Anolis sagrei: one gene and its partner. The protein of the gene in region 2 interacts with the protein of the main gene of each other region in a pairwise test. Links are inferred from orthologs where the notes say so. Each region holds a gene or a part of one and is shown on either strand. Other genes may lie near its edges.

What was found.
Region 1: the proteins of ERCC6L2 (region 2) and CYREN interact in binary tests that used the Homo sapiens proteins (3 or more experiments, as listed by UniProt). The two-hybrid records come from large-scale screens. The link is inferred for Anolis sagrei from reciprocal best matches to the Homo sapiens genes ERCC6L2 and CYREN.

What each region holds. Positions count from the first base shown.
Region 1 is NC_090025.1:158,237,115-158,244,531, reverse strand, and holds the start of CYREN (cell cycle regulator of non-homologous end joining), read right to left. Parts: upstream 3,010-7,417; 5' UTR 2,871-3,009; intron 1,330-2,870; 5' UTR 1,320-1,329; coding exon 1,198-1,319; intron 1-1,197. Other genes in the region: WDR91 (WD repeat-containing protein 91), read right to left, coding at 5,435-5,599. UniProt on the Homo sapiens protein: Cell-cycle-specific regulator of classical non-homologous end joining (NHEJ) of DNA double-strand break (DSB) repair, which can act both as an activator or inhibitor of NHEJ, depending on the cell cycle phase.
Region 2 is NC_090022.1:231,019,033-231,025,921, reverse strand, and holds the start of ERCC6L2 (DNA excision repair protein ERCC-6-like 2), read right to left. Parts: upstream 3,018-6,889; 5' UTR 2,828-3,017; exon of another isoform or gene 2,794-2,827; intron 1,116-2,793; exon of another isoform or gene 525-1,115; intron 1-524. UniProt on the Homo sapiens protein: Promotes double-strand break (DSB) end-joining and facilitates programmed recombination by controlling how DNA ends are joined in a spatially oriented manner during repair.

The sequences.
Region 1 (7,417 bases), on a different chromosome or scaffold from region 2:
AAATTTTATTCCGATCTCACAACAATCAAAATCTCCCATAAGCTTTAAGAAATGGGAGGAGCAGTAGATACAGTCAACTATTTCCTTCAGCTGGATGTATTTCGACAGGCATCCTTCGGGACCTCATGAGGTCTTTGTGTGACCTCTGCTGGTGATGTTATTGATGTTTGCCCAGCTAAGTGACAATAGCTGGATGCATTCTCTCAGTTCACATATGAGCCTTTATGTGACCTGTAGACTTATGAAGGCTCCATGAATTCCATAAGGCATGGAATACTGAGAGGTGGTTTTGCCAGTTCCTTTCTCTAAAACAGGCATGGGCAAACTTCAGCCCTCCAGGTGTTTTGGACTTCAACTCCCACAATTCCTAACAGCCGGTAGGCTGATCAATGAAATAGCTTCAAGGAAATAGCTAGATGTATCTACTACTCCTCCCATTTCTTAATGCTTAAGGGAGATTTTGATTGTTGTGCGGTCAGAATAGAATTTGTACCTTCATGGTACCCCCCCCAAAGGTCACAATGATGCAAGTTGTGTTGGAGCATGCAAGGATTCGGTTAATGCATGCATGTCAACTATAAAATAAGATGCATTAATCTGATTGGTTGGGCAATACCTGGGAAGATGGCTGAGCCCGGGACTTTTGGATACTGTTGCATTGTTGTTCAGGCTTGAGCTATGCAGGTGCTCAGGGAGAGAAGAAAAGAGAAGCAGAGAGAGACAGAGTTTGGAGTATGCTCTTGTTTCAGGAGCTGTTAGGAATTGTGGAAGTTGAAGTCCAAAACACCTGGAGGGCCGAAGTTTTCCCATGCCTATTCTAAAATATAGTCTACAGAAACTGGAATTCTCTACCAACACTGGAATAGCCATAGGCTGTCACAGAGGACTCAACCACAAATATCTATCTATCTATTTTAAAATGTTCTGGCGTTGAAGATTTGTGAATGAAAACATAGATGAAATTGGACTGGGTCATCATTTCAGAGTTAAAAGCCTTAGTGGCTCACCACAGGATAGCCAGCCGGCAAATTGGGATCTATAGAGTCATATGCCACCGCTTAATAAAGACCCTCTTAAGCCCGCCATACAGCCATTCCAAGGTTTGTGGAGAGTCTGGACATATGCCGAGTACAAATACTTTTTTAAAAATTGAAGGTCAAAGGTCTGCTGAGTTCCTAGGATTGAAAAATGCCTCACCCCAATGAAGTTGATTTCTTCCTCCTCTTTGGTTTGATTTCTGCTTCTTGTCCTGACTCAGTTGCCCGTTTTGTCATCCACATTGGGAGGATCCTCTTCTTAGCTGCTTCTGGAGATCCCATTTCCTCCTTACTCAAGAAGGATAGCATCAAGGGAAAATTAGTAGTACAGGGATGTAGGGATAACAAGAGAAGAAGAAGAAAAAGAGAAGCTAAAGAGAAGACAAGACATAAAGGGAAGTCAAGGGAGGAGGAAGCAAGCTTGTTTTCTGCTGCTCTGGAGACTAGGACGCAGAACAATGGCTTCAAACTACAGGAAAGGAGATTCCATTTAAATATTAGGAAGAAATTCCTAATTGTGTGAGCTGTTCAGCAGTGGAACTCTCTGCCCCAGAGTGTGGTGGAGGCTCCTTCTTTTGAGGCTTTTAAACAAAGGCTGGATGGCCATCTGTTGGGGTTGCTTTAAATGTGATTTTCTTGCTTCTTGGCAGGGGGTTGGACTGGATGGCCCATGAGGTCTCTCAACTCTATGATTCTATGATTCAGCTAGCGACAAGAATAACAGCATCTCTAATGATATTCAACGGATCTATCAGAAATGAAAAGTTATAGATTTTTTTTTTATTATGAAGAAGACAGCAGAGACAGGGTCAGAAGCGTTAGGGCTTTCTATTTTCCATTTCTCAATTTTTCTATATCCTTTGTTTCAAAACACTGTACAACCACTTTTCTATCCTTCTGTTTTAAATAGAAAAAAATACTCTTTTTGCTATATTTTCTTTTTTAACATCATAGAGACCTTTTAGTATTAGATAATAATGGAAGAAGGTAACTTAAGCGGCTGAGGGGGGGAAATGAATGGGCCTGAGGCCAGGAATTGTAGGAGTTGAAGTCCAAAACACCTGGAGGGTCAAAATTTGCCCATGCCTGATCTACACTGTAGAGTTGATGCAGTATGACATTACATCTCAATGCAACAGAATTATGGTGTTTGTAGTTTGGAGCCCCTGGTGGCACAGTGGGTTAAACCTCTGAACTTGCTAACCAAAAGGTCACAGGTTCAAATCCGGGGAGCGGTGCTTCTGCCAACCTAGCAGTTCAAAAACATGAGTAGATCAATAGGTACTGCTCTGGTGGGAAGGTAACGGCGCTCCATGCAGTCATGCTGGCCACATGACTTTGGAGGTGTCTACGGACAATGCTGGCTCTTCGGCTTTGTAATGGAGATGAGCACCAACCCCCAGAGTTGGACACGACTGGACTTAATGTCAGGGGAAAACCTTTACCTTTACCTTAGTTTGGTAAGACACCAACAGTCTTTGCTAGAGAAGGGTAAAGGCCTTGTAAAACTACAACTCTCATAATTCAATTGCCTTGGTAGTCAAAAGGGTGTCAAACTGCATTTATTCTACAGTGTAGATACACCCTCAGTGGGAGAAAGGAGTGCTGTAAATGACGGAAGTGCACTGAAGTTTTGAGCAAAGGTTTCTCACATCTCCATCCAAGCTGCAGATTCCACGATTAAAAGGGGCATGAAACTGATTTAATTGCATAGTGTTGATATACCCAAAGAATCAGCTACCCTTTCAACCCCATCATGAACAAACCCAAGAATAAGTAAAACCCCTGTTGGTTTGCTTTACCAAAACTCTAAACAATGATTTGCTTCCTTACCTGCTCTGTGCAATCACAAATGTTTGCCTCGTTCACCCATTCCAACCCACGTTGCAATTTTGGTGCAGGACTTCTCTCCAAACGTTAAAAGGAAGTAGCAAGCAGCCATCTCTGTGACGTCACGAGGGCTCCTCCCCCTCTGTCCCCCATTGGCTGGGAACTCAAGTTCTCACTCAAGTTCAAGGAGGAGCAAGCAATTCAAAACAAGGCATTAGCCCACTGACTGGCTTTTAACTACAGCTCCCAGAATCTTCCAGCAAGCACTGCCACTGGGAATTGTAGTTCCAAAAAAGTAATAGCCTCCAGCCGAATGACCAAATCTAAACTAACTGCAGGCGAAGAGATATTCATGAGATGTATGGAGTGGAGTCATGTACCAAATTGCAAATAATAACCAAAATGACCAAAAATTGAATATGATGTGAACTTTCAAGTCATTTCTGCCAGATTAATCCCAGAAAATTCAATCAGTACTTAAAGTTTGTTATGTTAGGCAAGTTAGATGCATCATTGGCGGGGTTCAGTGTGCCCTCTAGCTGTAGGATAAACTACAACTCCCACTACAGTGAGTAAAGTCCCCTCAAACCCCTCCAGTAGGTTGAGTTAGTCATGCGGGTTCTGTGTGCCAAGTTTGGTCCAAGTCCATAATCGGTGGAAGTCACAGTTTCTCTGGTCATGGGTGAACTATAACTCCCAGAAATGAAGGTGAGTTCCCCTCAAACCCCTCCAGTAATCAAATTTTGGCATATCAGGTAATGGGGGCTGTTTGCCAAATTAGGTCCAGTTCAATCTCTGGTGGAGTTCAGAGTGCTCATTGATTGTAGGTGAACTATAAATCCCAGTACCTACAACTCCAAAACGTCCAGGCCAATTCCCCTCAAAACCCACCAGTATTCAGATTTGGGCATATTGAGTATGCATGCCAAATTTGGTCCAGATCCATCATTGTTTGGGTTTCTAGTGCTCTCTGGATGTAGGTGAACTACAATTCCTATCAATCCCTCCAAAGACCTCCAGTATGTTTTGTTGGTCATAGGGGTTCTGTGTGCCAAAGTAGTTCCAGATCCATTGTCGGTGAGTTCAGAGTGCGCTTCTTAGATTGCAGGTGAACTATACATCCCAGTACCTACAACTCCTATAATTCATGAATTCTCCCCAAATCTCTCTAATGTGTTCAGTTGCTGATCAATTCCTCTGTTTGCTGTGTGCCACAGAAAATAATAAGAAAAGGTTATGGGAGAGGCAGTGGGTGGGGTCATGCAAATTCCACACCAATGAGAAGCAGAAATACTGGGATGCCTGTGGTGGAGGAAACACATAAAATCTAGGATGAAATTGTCCCCGTATGAAAGCTTTCACTTGGGTGGTGGGCAGTATGGTGTTGGAGGAAGACATTGGCAGGGCTCTTGTACATGTTAATGACACTCACCATAACCTGCAATGTCATTGGAGGGAGGGCTATTGGTGTCTCCTGAGAAGTGAGGGGACAGGAGCTTGTCTGTGTAAGTGGACAGCTCAGCCACATACACACATACATATTTTCACTTTTATGATGTGTATAGATAGATCTGGAATCAATTATTTTGTGCATATGATGCTCACTTGGTTTTCCATAAGGCAGTTTCTCACATTCAACAACACCTGGATGACCACATGTCCCTCGGCCCTACCCTAGTAGACTCTCAGCACAGGTCATGCCTTATTGAACTCCTAGGTTAAGGTAAAGGTTTTCCCCTGACATTCGTGTCCAGTCGTGTCCAGCTCTGGGGGGTGGTGCTCATCTCCATTTCTAAGTCGAAGAGCCGGCATTGTCCATAGACACCTCCAAGGTCGTGTGGCTGGCATGACTGCATGGAGCGCCGGAGTGGTACCTATTGATCTACGCACATTTGCATGTTTTTGAACTGCTAGGTTGGCAGAAGCTGCGGCTAATAGCGGGAGCTCACCCTGCTCTCCAGATTCGAACCTGCAACCTTTTGGTCAGCAAGTTCAGCAGCTCAGCGCTTTAACCCACTGTGCCACCGAGGGCTCCACTTAGCTGCTGCACAGACGTTTCATAGTGATAGAAACAACGCAGATGCCAAATGCAGTCCAATATTTATTTTCATAAGAAATGCAGGAACAGACAGAATACTGCTGGGCTTCCCTGCCCCCTTTGCTGGAACCAATGCAAATCTGCACCCACCTCTCAAAATAGTCCTGGAGCGTTATGTCCACGTAGTTCGGCAGGCCCAAGGGGGAAAAAATCTTTCTTTCTCTTTCTTTCTTTCTTTCTCTTTCTGTGTTGGTCCTCTTCAAAAGGAGTTTGGGATCAGTGCATGCCTGATAAGAGCATCCCTTATTTGAGGGAACTACTGTAACTGAAACTCTTAACTGGCAGTGGTTTGGCATCAACATCTTTTTTGTAAAAAGGTTTCTGACCTAGAGGGAAAGCAACGTTAAGACAAGTGGTTGGATTGCTCTTTCCTCTCTGCAGCTGCTTGATTCTAAATGGTTAATACTGGTCGACTCCTGATTCCCACCCCAAGTCCGTATCTTGTGCTTTCCTAGCACTGCAGTCTCCCTTAAGACTTCTGTGCCAGAAGAGTGGTTAGTTTGATCTTCCCATCCATAGAGGCTGTCAGGCAGGTCCCACAATCCATAGCTGTGCACCAGTCCACTGTGACCACCGGGGCCCTGTGACCGCCGAGGGAGAGGCAGCTCTCCAGGACCTTGTTATTGCTATTCAGCTGGAAGAGAAGGAAAGACAGACATAAGTCAAAATGTATCTAAAATATTTGGCCACCTTGATTTTTACTTTTGCCCAAGACAGTAGGCAAGAGAACCACCATGCTGGATGAAACCAATGGCCTTTTATGACGGACCCAAATCATGCAACTAATCAAATGAAACTGGACTGCATCTCCCAGCATCCCTTGCAATTGATTATACTACTTAGAGCTGTTTGGAATGGCATTGCAAACATATCTAGAGTGTTAGACAATTCACACCTCTGGTTTATGCAGTCCAATATTCTGTTCCCACTGGGGCCACCAAAATGCCTTGGGAAAGCCACAAGCAGGATGTCTTTATTATTTAATTATATGTATAGTAACATGGTGTGTGTGTATGTGTGTGTATATATGTGTGTGTGTGTGTGTGTGTGTATACACACATATATGGAGCCCCTGGTGGCGCAATGGGTTAAAGCACTGAGCTGCTGTGCTTGTTGACCGAAAGGTCGCAGGTTCGATTCCGGGTAGCTGTCAGCCCTAGCTTCTGCCAACCTAGCAGTTCAAAAACATACAGATGTGAGTAGATCAATAGGTACCGCTCCAGCAGGAACTTAACGGCGCTCCATGCAGTCATGCCAGCCACATGACCTTGGAGGTGTCTATGGACAACGCCAGCTCTTCGGCTTAGAAATGGAGATGAGCACCACACCCCAGAGTCGGACATGACTGGATTTAATGTCAGGGGACAACGTTTACCTTTACCTTTACACACACACACACACACACACACTTTAATCTTTAGAGTGGGAAGAATCAAGCTATTAAACCAATAAAAACATTCACATCAAAAGTTCAGTTAAACAGACAGAACAGACAACAAATAGAGGAATTATGCCTGCATTTTTCTAACTTTGGCGTCCTGGAGATTGTGCTCGATTCCAGCCACAGGGTGCTGCTGCTGCTGCTCCATCCTCTACAACAAAGAGCCCTTGATCACAGACTTCCTCCTTCCTTTGATGGCTGGCATTTTCTAGTATTTCCTTTATGGTGGCGTAAAATGCCTCCTTGCTTAAGCGGTGCCTAATTTCTCTACTCAAAGCTCACGGCTGTTTTCAAACTGCTTAGGTGGACAGTAAGCTGGGCTAAAGGCCGGGTGCTCAGCCTGACCCAGGCTTCAAATTGCCAACCTTTTGATTGGTAAGATCTATTGCTGGTGGTGATTAAAGCCCGGCCTGTTCATATTATACTATATTGTTCATATTATATTGTATCCTCACAGTTTTTGCAATATATATGCTAAGGTTTTGTGTCTTTACAGCAAAGCGGCCATGCAATTCTGGCCTTTCTAAACTTTCTCATAATGTAATGCTCTGGAGTGCCAAATAAAAAGCAAATTTATCTGGAGCTATGTTAAATGTTCCATAGCACTGCAGCATTTGGCTTCAATAAGAAGCTGTGTGGCCCTGCAAAACAAGGCTGCAGGGTAGAGTGGGGGAAATCAATAAGCATGCACACCAGCGATACCTCCAGTTTAACAAAGTAAGCCCAGCAGCAGTGCTAGACCAAGAATCAGACAAGACTGGCAATGGCTCTAGTTTTGTTTATGTTTTAGGGGTTTGGAAACGATCAAAGGTTAGAGTTCTACACTGGCTTACTTTAAAAAAAAAAAAAACATTTTTGCCCAAATGTCCTAAAAGACCCTCTGAAGGCACCACACATGCATAAATCCCAGGCAGTCTTAGGCCTAGGAGAGACCTTGATGACAGCAGGAAGTGACCCAGAAACTGTTAGAAATGGTTAAATTGCTCCTATGCCTCCAGATGTCGTTTGGGG
Region 2 (6,889 bases):
TTTCTCTTTGTTGGTAATAGATGGCATCCAAAGCTATACTGGGTCTGAACACAGAGGCAACAGAAAACTATAACAAATCCCCTCATCGTTTTATCCCATTTTTTAAAGCTTCTTTTCAATTCAATACCACTTATCTTGTGGGGAGGAATTCTAATAACTCACTATTTATTAAGAAATACAGCATGATACATGAAACCATGGATAAGATGATGTCCAAATCTGTCACTCCTTCCCATCCGTTACTAAGGAGGCTATTCAGTCCTTGAACCAGTGCTGTGTCAGACTGGATGAGGGCTAACAAATTGAAATTGAATCCAGACACGACAGAGGTTCTCCTAGTCAGTCGAAAGGCCAAACAGGACATAGGGTTACAGCCTGTGTTGCATGGGGTTACACTCCCTCTGAAGACACAGGTTCGCAGCTTGGGAGTGATCCTGGATCAGCTGAGCCTGGAACCCCAAGTTTCGGCGGTGGCCGGGAGAGCTTTTGCACAGTTAAAGCTTGTGCACCAGCTGCACCCATACCTTGGCAAGTCTGATCTGGCAACAGTGGTCCACGCTCTTGTTACATCCCGAATAGATTACTGCAACGCACTCTACGTGGGGCTGCTTTTGAAGACTGTTCGGAAACTTCAGCTAGTCCAACAGGCGACAGCCAGATTACTAACTGGAGCGACATACAGGGAGAACACCACCCCCTTGTTGTGTCAGCTCCACTCGCTGCCGATCCACTTCCCAACTCAATTCAAAGTGTTGGTTTTGACCTATACAGCTCTATACAGTTCTGGCCCAGCTTACTTGTCTGGATGCATCTCTCTCTATGTCCCGCCTTGAAGTTTATCTGGGGAGACCCTGCTCTCGCTCCCCCCCCAGCATCGCAAATACATCTTGCGGGAACAAGAGACAGGGCCTTCTCGGCTGTATCCCCTCGCCTGTGGAACTCGCTTCCCAACAAGGTAAGATCGGCTTCATCCCTCCTGTCTTTTAGGAAGAAATTGAAGTCATGGTTTTGGGACCAGACTTTTGGACAGCAGGCATAAATAGTGCTTTGGATATGGAATTTGACTGGAATGGTGATACAGTGGTTAATACTGTTTTATTGTTTCAATTAATGTTCTATTTATTGTTTTAATTGTTGTTGTATTGCTTTGTTATATTTAATGGCACCAAATTGTGCCAAATGTAAGCCACCCTGAGTCCCCCTTCGGGGGTTGAATAACTAAATAAATAAGAAATCCTATTGGACTTCTGGCCAAAGAAGACCATAAAATCTCACTCTGAGTGGACATGTTTTCTTGGAAGTAAATCAAAGCAGTCACAGATACTGGTCCACCACTGAATATGGTGGCTGTACAGTTAACTGGAACTCTCAATCAACTGACAAGAACTGGGTTGCTTTGAGTTTTCCAGGCTGTATGGCCATGTTCCAGAAGCATTCTTTCCTGACGTTCTGCTTGCATTTATGGCAGGCATCCTCAGAGGTTGTGAGGTCTGTTGGAAATTGGGCAAGTGGGATTTATATATCTTTGGAATAATGTACAGAGTGGGAGAAAAAACCCTTGCCTGTTTGAGGCAAGTGTCACAACAACCCAGTGATTCCAGCCAAGACAGCCTTAGACAACAAACTGGCCAAGATTGCATAGTGGATTCACAAAACTGTTTTTATAAGACAATAGGATTGTGAAATTAAAATTAAATTTGTCTTGCAATTGTTAACTGTATTCCAATATTGATATCAAGTCAATATAGTATTTCTGGTATGGGGTATAGCATTAGTTGGATCTAATTTTGAAAAATGTGGCTTGTTGAGGAAACAAGGATTGGTGATAAAGCTTCAGGGGAAACACCTTTTTCCCCATAATAATAACTCTTTCAGGAGTGAAGTTCCCTCCCAAGGGGTAGATTTCACTCACTTCCTGTTGTCTCACCTCTGTTCTTCAGTAGGAGTTGTTCGAAAGTTGGATGTTTGTAACTCAGGGACTGCCTGTATGTGGGAATTACTTTCTAAAATATTTCCAACCAGTGGTTGATCGAACCCACGGATGCAGAACCTACGGAGGATGGACTGCGGACCTTTGGTATCCATTTGGATTTCGTTCCAGGACTCCTTGAGGATACCACAATCTGTGGATGCTCATATCCCATTATATATACCAGGCTTGGGCCAATTCGGGCCCTCCCTCTAGAGGTTTGGGACTTCAACTCCCATCATTCCTAACAGCCTCAGGCCCCTTCCTTTTCCCCCTCAGCCGCTTAGGAATGATGGGAGTTGAAGTCCCAAACACCTGGAGGGAGGGCCCAAATTGGCCCATGCCTGTGTTAGAGCCAAACTTGACTCCCTGGCATGTAATTAAACTGTGTCTATTTGAAATTAAGGAAAAGAAGGCAAAAATTAAAGAGTAAACACCACAGATGAACTGAGGCGATGACTGCTAATGAAGCGCCTTTCCCTATATAGCAGAATCTCTTGCATGTTAACCCAGGGAGCATCTACACTGTAGAATTAATGCAGTTTGACACCACTTAAACTGCCATGGCTCAGGGATTTGCAGTTTGCACTCTTTAGAAAAAACTAAAAGTCAGACAAACCCCAGAATTCCCCAGTATTGAGCCATGGCAGTTAAAAGTGGTGCCAAAGTGGTGCAGATACACCCATAAGGGAAAACCCAGGGATGGAAAGGCCTGTGAGCGAGGCTTAAACTGGAGATCAAACAGATCAAAGGCAGGAAAAGGAAAGGGAGAAGACCCCTCTGCTGCCTGGCTCCCGCGCAAACCCGCGCACGCGCAGACCCACCCCGCGCGCGAGCCCACGGCCGCCGCTTCCGAACCTTCCGGGATTTTAGCCCCAGCCCCGCTTGCCTTCAGTCAGCTGTCGGCGAATTCTCGCGAGAGCTGTGATCTCCACGGGAATCCAGAGCTGCTTTCGCCACATAGACTCTTACGGAGCGTTAGAGGATGGGCGCCATTTTTGTTCTCTCTCACACCTTCCAAGAGAGAAATGCGCGGAAACGTCAGTTGAAAATACTAGCGTTTCCCCGTACGTTGGGGCCAGGAAACCGCCTGTATCCTTTTCCAGCCGTCTCCACAAAAATAACGACAGCGATACGTTCCTATTCTTGGTTCTTAGCCTTGTGATTCTTAACTTCCATTCGCTCTATAGACATGAAACGTGATATCGCGAGAACGTGATCAAATCCCGCGATACAGTAACTGGATTCTCTGTTCTAATTTATGTTGATTGCTTGAGTTAATGCCAGGCCTGGGCCAGCTTGGGCCCTTTGAGTGTTTTCATAGAATCACAGAGTGAGGGGCAACATTGTAATAAAGCATAAACATTTCATAGAATCAAAGAGTTGGAAGAGACCTCATGGGCCATCCAGTCCAACCCCCTGCCAAGAAACAGGAAAATTGCATTCAAAGCACCCCCGACAGATGGCCATCCAGCCTCTGTTGGAAAGCTTCCAAAGAAGGAGCCTCCACCACACTCTGGGGCAGAGAGTTCCACTGCTGGACAGCTCTCACAGGAACTTCTTCCTCATATTCAGATGGAATTCTCCTTTCTTGTAGTTTGAAGCAATTGTTCCACATCCTAGTCTCCAGGGCAGCAGAAAACAAGCTTGCTCCCTCCTCCCTATGATTTCCTCTCACGTATTTATACATGGCTATCATGTCTCCTCTCAGCCTTCTCTTCTTCAGGCTAAACATGCCCAGCTCTTTAAGCTGTTCCTCATAGGGCTTGTTCTCCAGACCCTTGATCATTTCAGTCACCCTCCTCTGGACACATTCCAGCTGAGAGTCAACATCTTCCTTCAATTGCAATGCCCAGAATTAGACACAATATTCCTGGTGTTGTCTAACCAAGGCAGAATAGAGGGCTAGCATGACTTCCCTGGGTCTAGACACTATACTATTGATGCAGGCCAAAATCCCATTGGGTTTTTTTGCTGCCGCATCACATTTTGGACTTCAACTCCCACAATTCCTAACAGCCACAGGCCCCTTCCTTTTCCCTCTCGGACACTTAAAAGGAAAGGGCCTGAGGCTGCTAGGAATGGTGGGAGTTGAAGTCCAAAACACCTGGAAGGCCCAAATTTGCCCATGCTTGGTTAATACTTGTCATTTCTCTATGACAAGTAGGCTTGTCATAGAGAAATTCAACTGTTTTAGTCAAATTTATCCGTTTGCTTAGAATATACCTACACTGTAGAATTAATGCAGTTTGATACTACTTTAACTTCCATGGCTCAGTGCTGGGGAATTCTGGAGAATTGTGGTTCTGTCGGCCTTATCTGCCAAAGAGTACAGACTGAGGGTCCTTCCACACAGTCCTATATCAAGGCAGAAATCCCACATTATCTAAGTGTGGACTCAGATAACTCAGTTCAAAGCAGATAATTTGCCTTGATATTCTGGGATATAGGGCTGTGGAAGGGCCCTAAGTACTAGGCTTCCATAGCATTGAGCCAGGCCAGTTAAAGTGGTGTCAAACTGCATTGATTCTGCAGAGTAGATGTACCCATGGCTTCCTCCATCACCTCACTCTCAGCATCCACCTTCTCACTAGAAGACAGTTATTTAAAAGCAATGTTTTTGGATTTGGAAAGAGTAGCCGTTTATGAGAAACGTTGCCTGGGGGACGCACGAATGTATTCACTCAGTAGAAGACAGTCAGCTAAACTGAATGTGGCTTGCTCCATTTCTTGGGGCCCTTCCACGCAGCCCTAAATCCCAAAATATTAAGGAAGAAAATCCTACATTATCTGCTTTGTACTGGGTTATCTGAGTCCACGCTCAGATAATGTGGGATTTTCTTCCTTGATATCCTGGGTTAATAGGGCTGTGTGGAAGGGTTCCCAGGTTATTTGGGATTTTCTACCTTGATATTCTGGGATATAGGGCTGTGTGGAAGGGCCCTCGGTGTTAATGACAAAGAAAAGTCCCCTAATTTCACTTTAATCTGGGAGCAGTCTTGATTTCCAAACAGGGAAATGCATCCATAATTCCCACCAAATCAATGCCTGAAATTATTTTTTAAAAAATCCAAAATGCTAACTTTATTTATTCTTTATTTATTTATTTTGGGCTTTTATATCCCATCCTATCTCAACCTCCAATTTGGAAAGCCTTCACAATCCACTGTGCATCTCCATCCACCACAAAACACACCTCTACATGTTCACTCAGAAATGTCAATGTGAGCAGCATAGCACACACAACCAATTTATACAAGTCTATTTAGGCATGAGAAGGATAAATTTACATGGGTAAGCATGGCAGCAAGTTCTGCAAGCATTCATAATCGATTTCTTTGCCTGTAGTGATAACAGCGACCCACACTAATCAACACACTCATATAAAAAACTGTACATACCAACCATCTCAGATGCAAAAACCCTATTCGCACTAATATAAAGCCACTCACACATAAGGGAGGTCTCTGTGGTTCCCTTCTCACCCTCACACTGACTTCCCACCCTGCATAGTTTCCCTCTCCCCCTTATTGTTCCCCCACATATTCACTCACCTCAGTCTCAACTGAATGAAATGGACAGGATACCAGGAATTTTGACAATGCACTGGAAATTACAAGAGGATACCATATACATCTTACAGAAGGTGATTTTTAATGAATGCCCAGCGTTGTCTGCCTTCTCTGCTATCTTATAGTAATATTCTGCGCATACACAGGCATAAGTCATGCTCAGCACTTCCCCCAGCAAAGAAGGAAGCAAAAAGGTGGAGTGGGTTGCAGGGGAAACAAGTGCAGTGCACTGTCACACTCCACTGAATTTCAAGCTTTGATTAAGATCAGGAAACCAGAAGAGACACAGAGGATGCTGTTCCCGTCACCCATAATAATAGGACACAGGCCTGTAGCGGGGGGGGGGGGGGGGGGTTAGGGGTTCAACCCCCCCCCCCCCAATTTTTCAGGTTAAAAAAAAAACCTGGTTTACTCATGAATTTTAACTGGTTAACCAAATCCCCATGCTAAGTCTATGGGACACAGAAAATTAAGAGTCCCTCCAGAACTGCAAGCACTATCTCAAAGAAATATCGACAATTTATTCACATTGTCATTACTTGCAGCAATAGCCGATGTAGCGAAGCAACCAAGTTTGGGGGGGGGGGGGGTGTTAGATTTGAAGGCCCTCATGAAGGAGACCAGACTTGGTGGGGGTGGTTGAAAGGGGTGGAGCTGCAGGCTACTGAAGGCTGCTCTGCCCCTGCTGTGCTCTTTGCTTCAGCGTGAGCTAAGAAGCAGGTTTTAACCCCCCTCCCCGAAATTTTCAACCCACCCACCCCCCCCCCCCCGAAATTTTCAAAACTCCCCGAAATTTTTTTCTGGCTACAGCCCTGATAGGACACCTTTTTATTTAACAGGAGCAAGACCTGTTGAGTACAATAAGGCCTAACTCAGTTCCAACTAAACGTGCATATAAGGTGGAAGTAATGAAGTTGTTGGAGTGCAGCTCCCATCATGCTGGGAGAGGCAATCCAACCATATTTGGCAATGTTCATCATACCTACCACTGGTATATAAAATTCCAATTACTTGTTAGCTTAAGCATAGGAAGAAAATGACAAGTGCTAATAACATCCAGGTAATTTCCATAGCTATGTTTTCAAATCTTTACCTTTCTGAAGAGGAGACAAACTTGTGTTTATTTTGTAAATTTTTCTGCTGGCTTGCAATCCTTTTCTTCAACACTACATCCTGGTTGAACCGACATAATCTAGCTTTCCATATGCCACATGATGGATGCATCAAGAGTGTCCTGCTGGAGTCCAGTTCCCATTACCCTTCTCCATCAGAGCTAACAAGGAGCAATGCCCCCTTCCAAAAAAAATAAAAATAAATAGGAAGTCTTCACAATTGTCATTCCTGCTGT